Linked DNA regions of Coturnix japonica. Each later gene encodes a partner of the first gene's protein in a complex. Links are inferred from orthologs where the notes say so. Each region holds a gene or a part of one and is shown on either strand. Other genes may lie near its edges. The genes, in order: TAF1B and POLR2F.

What was found.
Region 2: TAF1B (region 1) and POLR2F share a complex: the UniProt entries of both Homo sapiens proteins name them as parts of the pol I pre-initiation complex. The link is inferred for Coturnix japonica from reciprocal best matches to the Homo sapiens genes TAF1B and POLR2F.

The regions. Positions count from the first base shown.
Region 1 is NC_029518.1:87,994,700-87,998,512, forward strand, and holds part of TAF1B (TATA box-binding protein-associated factor RNA polymerase I subunit B), read left to right. Parts: intron 1-1,826; coding exon 1,827-1,917; intron 1,918-2,369; coding exon 2,370-2,440; intron 2,441-3,813. UniProt on the Homo sapiens protein: Component of RNA polymerase I core factor complex that acts as a GTF2B/TFIIB-like factor and plays a key role in multiple steps during transcription initiation such as pre-initiation complex (PIC) assembly and postpolymerase recruitment events in polymerase I (Pol I) transcription.
Region 2 is NC_029516.1:46,598,842-46,603,308, reverse strand, and holds the start of POLR2F (DNA-directed RNA polymerases I, II, and III subunit RPABC2), read left to right. Parts: upstream 1-1,619; 5' UTR 1,620-1,716; coding exon 1,717-1,736; intron 1,737-2,042; coding exon 2,043-2,112; intron 2,113-2,201; coding exon 2,202-2,332; intron 2,333-3,769; coding exon 3,770-3,841; intron 3,842-4,467. Other genes in the region: C1H22orf23 (UPF0193 protein EVG1), read right to left, coding at 1-109, 562-747, 1,216-1,278, 1,478-1,556. UniProt on the Homo sapiens protein: DNA-dependent RNA polymerase catalyzes the transcription of DNA into RNA using the four ribonucleoside triphosphates as substrates.

The DNA.
Region 1 (3,813 bases):
AGCCATTAATGTCTTAATAGCGTTTCTCTGTTATTAACAAGTCTCGTTGCCTTTGGGAATTAACAGCTCATTCTTTGCCCACTTTTTTTTTTTTCCACCTTTGAAACCTTCAGGTGCCAAACAATTCCTGTGCTGTGTTCTGTTGTCCCGTTCTTCAGCTGTTGGAGCGGCAGGCAGCTGATGTGATGGTGTTCTGTTCGGGCACTGATCAGTGCCAGAGCTCAGCACTGCCCCTGGCACTTGACCAAGCTTAGTGTGCTCAGATGAATAATAGCTGATACTGCACTGTAACGATCCAGCATATCTGGCATATTGTACTTGCAATACAGCCATCCTCTCTCTAGTCTTTTTCTTTTGCTGTATAAAATATTTCAGCTCCTACATCTCAAGACAGCCTGGAAGCAGTTGTAGCTGTAGCTTCCTTGCGTGTGTCTGTGAGTGTATGTTCTGCAGACTGCACATGTACACAATGCTGTTTATGCTCAAATAAAATGTGATTGAGGTATGTGTATATGTGTGAGTGCATCACAGAGCTGTGCATTTGCCAGTTGACTCAGCCGTGTCGATGCAGGACTAGCAGTACCAGCCACGTGGACGGTTAGTGTCATGTCCCTGACAGTGGGCTTCCTTGTGACAGATGTTGGAATAATTTGTATTAAGTTAAATACAAAAATTATTTTCTTCCCACAGGCCAACCTCCCAGCACCCTCTGTGCAGAGGAGTTCGAAACAGAACTTTATCCATGTCATTGCATTTTAATAACTGACGGGTCTTTCTTCCCCTTGTTTGTCCATTTCAGGCCAGCTGTAGTTCTTGTTTGTAAGGCCTCTTGTGGCAGGATAACTTGAGTAGCAAAAGCATAGAAGACATACAGAACTTTGCTTATAAGAACAGTATATTCACCTTCAGAACAGTTTGCCAGCTAGCTCTTTAGAAGTGAGCATGATGCAAGCATCCTTGCAGAGCAGCTGGGGTGATGGGGAAATGCAAAGCCTGGTTAATTCATGATGCAGATAATACACCCACGGATAATAAGAGTTGGTTATTTAAATTTACCCTGCACCATAGTTCTGTTCACAGTTCTTATACTTATTGTACCCTGTTGATCTACTTCAATCCTGTGCCTCTCTGGAGTATCAGTGGTAAACATGCTGCTGGAATGACTTATGCCTTAACGTTTTTGCATGCACTGCTATGTATTTGTTCACATATCAATGAGTGAGAATCCAGTGTATGTGGGACGCTGGTACTCAGTGAATACAATTGTCTGGATTATCCTTCTTGCCTTGCAACATCTCATGGGCAGCAGGATGGATGGTGTGGGGTTGGGGGTTGGACTCGATGATCTCTAGAGGTCCCTTCCAACCCCTACAATTCTGTGATTCTGTGACACTGCTTCACCTCCTACATCTGAGCTTCAGAATTTGTTTAGAACTAAGCTTCTACAGTTTCATGAATTCCTTGAAGTCAGATTTCAAGCAGAGGAAGAAGACCAGTTAGTGTTGTGGAGATCTAGTTCTGGTAGCAATTACACTTAACTTTCAGAAAGGAGGGAGAAGGATTAACTTGTCTAAAACTAGGAAACATATTCTGAGCAGAGGTGTTTCTTCCCACCTCTTATGCTGTTCCTTTCTAGTATTTCTGCTTTTCATTTTCTCTGTCTTACAGAAATGTTGGGTTAAGTGTGTTTTCTATAAGCAGATGGAATTAAAGATTTGCCTACAGACGGGAGATGCAGAGTCCAACTGCATGGTGACCACATTCTATGTATCACATTTCTTTCACTCCTTCACAACCTAAAACTAAATTACGAATGTTTTATTCAGGTGGCCCTTATTTCGAGTTCAAAAAGTGGTACAAGGTTATAAAATGTACCTTGGATGTGGAGCAAAAAAAACTGGATGAAGAAAAGGCCAAGTAAGAGATTTTTAAGTACTGGATAATGATAATAGCAATATTAAGGTAGATGATTGTAAGTGAAATCCTGACCCCCCACAGGAGCTGAAAAAGTTTGGACTTTGCTCCAATGTTCCCATCCTGCACATTTAGGTGAACAGTGATTCCATCCGTGTCTCAATTTTCTGTTTACAATAATGATATTTATCCAGCATGTTGATTAAACACTGTCTGTGACAAGTAGCTTATATAATTGAACAATTAACTGATCACAGTGAATCTAGGCTTACATTCCTCCATTTATCTATGCAGAAAAAGGCTGCTGTATGTTTTGGAGGAGGTGTCTTTTAATGGTGTTAACAACAGATTATTTTGTTTTTATTTTAATAGCTGTATCTAATTAAGAAATTACGATTTGACTTGCTTTTTCTAGTTTTCTTTTTCCTAACAGTTTTTATTTCTCTTACTTGTAGGTATCTGTGGAAATGTGAAAAGCCCCTGTTTTATTCACTCAAGAAGAAATCTAAAATCCTTAGGAAAAGACGTGAGTAAACTCCACCTCTTTCCGCCAGCACAGAAGTCTGCCCCAACTTTTCCCATCATAGAAATTCTGACTGTAATAATATTTACATCTTAAAATACTTTCCCTTCAGTCTTTCATCTCTGGGCACAATGAATGTTGTACTGTTTTACAACCCGTGGCTGGAATTCTTCAATCAGACGTTTTCCTACTGCTTAACTGAAACTGCAGCCTTCACAGTGATCTACTTAATGTAGTCTCAGAGTTAGTACTTTGTCCTCATCTCACTCATCTGTCAGCTGCCTTCGTATTACTGTGCTCTTCATAATTTTTTGTTGATCTTCCATGGCTTTTCAGCTCCTCTCTCTTTCCACGTATATATCACGTTTGTCCTTGGGTAGACCCTCCTGTCCCTCTTTTCTCCTAGTTACTCTTGCAGTCTTCTACAGAAGGTGAGAAGGATTTCTCTGAGTGTGGTTTTGCTTGAACAGCTGGTTGTTCATGGTCAGAATGAAGATCCCTTCCTTTTAATATATATGGAAGTATAAATTAATTACTTGGTTTGGAAGGGACCTTAAAGATCATCTAGTCCGAGCTCCCTGCCATAGGCAGGGCTGCCACACTTCAGATCAGGAACCCAGTGACTGGGTTTTACTATTCCATTTAAAACAAACAAAAAATCCACCAAACAGAAACAAACAAACAAAACCAACAGAGACTGCACTCATCCTTGTAAATAGGAAAACAGGAATTTTATTAAACTAAATAAAACCTGAGGTTCTTCATTCTACTTTTGATAGTAGTAAGCAACAGGTAGTGGGAGAGAGGTGTTAATGTGGCAAGTGATGTTTTTCTCCTTAGATACTCTTCCCGTTTCTGGAAGCGACTGATCCAGGAACTTTTAAGCTCGTTATTATACTCCTGTTTAGTTTGAATAATTCATGTTAGACTTACTGTGCAAGAATGCATTGGGTTTTTAGTAATGTTTTTATCCTTCAAAATTCTGTAGTGGTGATGTCGCAGTTAAGTCACATTCTGGGTAAAAACAGATTTGTTTATTTCATTCTGAAATGGTTTCCTCAGGAGCAATTTAGTTCCCTTGTCAATAGGAAAAATGAAAAACCATTTGTTGTTCATTAATTCCATGCCACTTTATATTCTCCGTCTGGATCTTGTTCTCTTTGAGATAGGAAAGAACCAACGGGATCATTGAGTTATTGCAGCCAGGAATCTCACATCATATCATTTCAACAAGGCAAGATTCATCTTAAGTTTTAAATAGTAGAGACAAGGAATGCCTATACAAAGAGTCCCCTAGAACCATACTTGATCTGGTGTTAATGCAGTTTGTACATTTGGCTCATTATTTCTGGACAGTTTTCCTGTTCCTGTTCTGG
Region 2 (4,467 bases), on another chromosome or scaffold:
ATCTCCTCTTCCTTTGTATGAACCGTTATCTGTTTCACCTGGTGCTCCACTGTATCCTTCCCAGTCGCTAAGATATTTTGGAGCCTCTGCTTCTCCCTTTCCAAATCTCCTGTGAATGCCGTGGATAAAAATGAATTGTTAGCAGCATGTCTCCTCAGCAAGGAGCTGCCTGCCCTGCTTTGCTGTTAACGATGGCAGAGGAAGCATGATGTAAGTGACAGCACAGCCCCAGACTGAACTCTGCTACACATGGTAATGGGCAAACCAGTCTGAGCTCTAAAGTTTCACCCTTGTTTACAAGCTAGAAAATTACACAGTGATCTCTTCTTACAAAGGATTGTGCAAGTTCCTGTCACCTATTGTCCCCCTGGGCAGCAGGCAGAACTCTGTGAGCATTTGCAGCAGGCGCTCCCTCAGAGATCTCCCTTTAAAGCATCTTTGAAGACAGAAAGCATGAAGAATAATTAAGGATATTCCCTAAAGGTGCTGAGGGGTTAGACATAAGGGAAAGAGAAGAACTGGACAGCATGATTTATTTATCTGTGATGTTTGCTTACTTACGCCTTGCCTGTGGCCTGAATTTCTCTCGGATGTAGGCATCTCCTGCTCGGCAGACCTCAGCAGGCCGAAGATGGGGTTTAGCTGGCAGCTTGCTTGGCTGATGGCACGGTGGGGAGGAAGCAGGAGGCGCGAGCACTTGTTCTTGGCTGGAGGTAGGGTGGCATTGGAGGGGCAGAGAATCTCCCCCTGGAGAACAAACCCAACATATTGATGTCAGATGCAGAGGAGTCTGGGCAAGTGGCCCCAGCCTACCACCAGCAGAAGGTCATAAAACCATAAAATGGCTTAAGTTGGAAAGGACCTCAAAGACCACCCTGTTCCAACCTCCTGCCATTGGTAGGGCTTCCATCCACCAGGTCAAGCTGCTCAACTTGGCTTTGGGCACCTCCAGAGGTGGGGCACCCACAGCTTCTCTGGGCAGCCTGTGCCAGCACCTCACCACCCTCTCAGTGAAAAATTTCTCCCTAATATCTAACCTAAATTTCCCCTCTTTTAGTTTAAAGCCATTCCCCCTTGTCCTGTCACCATTACGCAGTGTAAAAAGTCCATCTCCATCCTTGTAAGCTTCCCTCAAGTACTAGAAGGCCGCAGTGCAAGCAGCAGAGAGCGTTCAGCACAGTGCTGGGGAAGGAGTGCCAGGTGGGAAGCACTCACGCCTCAAACAGTCCATCAGGAATCGCCTCTGGAAACTCGTCAGCTTCGACTCCTCCATCAGGGCTAAAAAACAACAGCTACGTGTTACTACACAGCACAGTGGGCTGCCCCGGCCCCGCAGAGCCCAGGACACGGCCCAGGACAGGACCCAGGACAGGATCCAGGACAGAGCCCAGCACAGGGCCCAGCACAGGACCCAGGACAGGGCCCACAACCGCCTTCCCCGAGTCCCCGCGGCCTTCCATCCCTCATAACCCGTTACCTCTCAGCACCTCTCGTGTCTCGGGGCTGTACCGGGCTCTGCCTCTTCCCGCTGGCCTCGTTCCCGTCGATAAGGCCATGGCTGGTGGCGACGGTGGGAGAACAATTAGGGACAGCGGGGCAGGCGGAGCCGCGTCCTGTCTCTGTGGCAACGGCGCCGCCGGTTTACTTCCGGAAACGTGACGTCACGGCGCACGACCGGAAGTGGGTAGTACTTCCGCCGGGGAGCGAGGAAACAAGATGTCGGACAACGAGGACAAGTGAGAGTGGGGCTGAGGCTGAGGCTGAGGCTGAGGCTGAGGCTGAGGCTGAGGCTGAGGCTGAGGCTGAGGCTGAGGCTGAGGCTGAGGCTGAGGCTGAGGCTGAGGGCTGAGGGCTGAGGGCTGAGGGCTGAGGGCTGAGGGCTGAGGGCTGAGGGCTGAGGGCTGAGGCTGAGGGCTGAGGGCTGAGGCTGGGGGCTGGGATCAGAGATCAAAGCCTGGACTTAGAGACGGTCCAGCGCTAAGTCCGAGTCCAGGCGCTGTCTCCCGGCCTGTGTGCGATGTGTGCTTGCCTGTCTCTCACAGCTTCGATGGGGATGACTTCGATGATGTGGAGGAAGACGAGGGGCTGGATGACCTGGAGAACGTGGAGGAGGTGGGTGCTCTGCGGGGCTCCGATCATGGATCATTCCGGGTCATGGAGTCAGCCCGTAACGGTGCTGTGTCGTGCTGTGCTTTACCCAGGAGGGACAGGAGAACGTGGAGATCCTCCCCTCCGGAGAGCGCCAGGCAGCGAACCAGAAGCGAATCACCACCCCCTACATGACCAAGTATGAGAGAGCCAGAGTGCTGGGCACACGTGCCCTCCAGATCGCGTGAGTATTAGCTGGATCCCTGCTGTAGGACTGTGTGCTTCTCATGGCTTGACCTGTTAAAGCTCCTTCCTTTCTCCCTAAAGCCTTAAGTGATTCTTTACCTGGCGGTTCCGCTTGGGAATCGCCATCTCCATCAACAGTGAAAAGCAATAAAAAGCAATACTGTGAGCTGTCAGCCACACGTGAGTTCTGAATCTCACCCCAGCTGATGCTGTGGGTCACAAGCAGATGGAGTGGGTAACGTGGCATTCTGGTTCTGCTTTCTGCCTTCTATAAGGCAGCCAGCATGAGCTGGGAAACTCAGAACTACTACTGCAAAGTTCAGCTTTGAGGAAGCTGAATAAAAGTAATAAAGTAATATCATTAATTATTATCACAAGGCTATCAGAACTCTAGGAATGGCACAGCTGTCTTGAAATACTAAGCATACGGTTATATTGTGGCACACTGTATGTTCACTAACTATTTGGAATAGTGGAGCATCACTTCTAATAGGTAATAACATTTAAATCCTCTTTTAAGCACTCCTTAAGACAAGTTCCTCTCAAATTCTTCCTTTTATCTGTCCAGATCTGTTTTAGTAATGCCTGCTAAAACCTTTGTGATCTTTGAGAAACTGCTGTGTAAGTGAGATGATTAGGCTGTGTTGAAATTGGTCTGAAAGGAATCTTAGCTACATCCACCCTGAAAATGAAGCTGATTCGATTACCACCAATGAGCTTCTATGTGATCTTTGCTTAATCATCACTTTGCTGAGCTATTCTTCGCCTGGTTATCACTCCAGGAAGGAATTCTGTGCATGTTGTTTCAACTGGTGGCAGGCCAGAAGGATGGAAGAGATGGGATGAGCCAGTGCCAGGCATTTAATACAAAACACTGGTGCCTGGTCTCTATCACCTCCGTATTCTGTTGACTATTGATGTTGACTCTAGGCCAGCAGCAGCCCCCCAGTGGCTTTACCCACACATAATGTGAACTTCTGTTGCTTCTGCTGCCACCTGAGACAGTTGTCAACTGTGTTTGCTTTACTGTTACAGCCCTCACCAAAACGCATTTGTTTTTTTGCTCTAGAGATAGAGTGCATTATAAATCTAGCCCTTTGTTTTCCTTTGAAGGAAGCCTTGAAGATTCAAGCAAGTCAGATTCCCATTTTATAGTGTTCCAACTCTATTATTTTTAATTTTAGATCTGCCCTTATTCTTCACATATAAGTACAGCACAGTGAGACTAGACAGGTGTGGTTCTGACCAGCACTCAAGTCCCAGCTGACTTGCAGAGGATGAGGGGTGGATTAAGAGCATTCAAATGAAAACTCAATCCGTAGCCACTTGGGGATAACCTTTGTCCCAGAGTGGATAAGAGTGCAGCATGCAGTCATATGTTGGCCCTTCTGTCTTTCTGTACATTCTCTGAAATGGCTGTTGCTGTTTGTCCCAGGATGTGTGCACCCGTGATGGTGGAGCTGGAAGGAGAGACAGACCCCTTGCTGATTGCCATGAAAGAACTCAAGTAAGTCCCAGCCTTAGGCAGTGTATGTATTGTTTTCTACAAAGCAAGCTATCCTCTGCTTATCTCAGCACTTTACAACTTATTCCATGCAGTATATTCTAAGACAACCTTCTTTTTTTATCAACCACGGTGAGTTCTGCAGTTTCCTTCCACTTTTCCTCCTTGGACCTTCTCCACAGCTTCTCCCATCCTAGGAGTTCTTGCTGATGATGAGCAGTGCTCTGACCTCTTTTTATATAAGAGTCATTTCTATGATGAGAACCAAAGATCCCCATAAGGAATCAGTTTAATTCTCTGAAAGGAATTAATTTGAAGCAGCCTTCTGAACAGACCTGTGCTCAGATGAATTGCTGACTTAAATAAACAAAACTGGGGTCAGGGTGGTGATGTGGAGACTCTGGTCAGAATGTTGTTTCACTGCACCCTTCTATACTTGGCTTATTGTGCTGGCAGGAGACGCACCTCTTGCATACAGAGAGATTGATTTGAACCTTTTCTGGCAGTTTCTGGATCACTGCTTAGAGGCCCACAGCAGAGTGCCCTGGTGGCACACAGTTTGCCAGTGTAGAAAGCAGGTTACTATGTTGCATGCAGGTAATCTTCAAGCAGAGTAACTGGATTCCTTT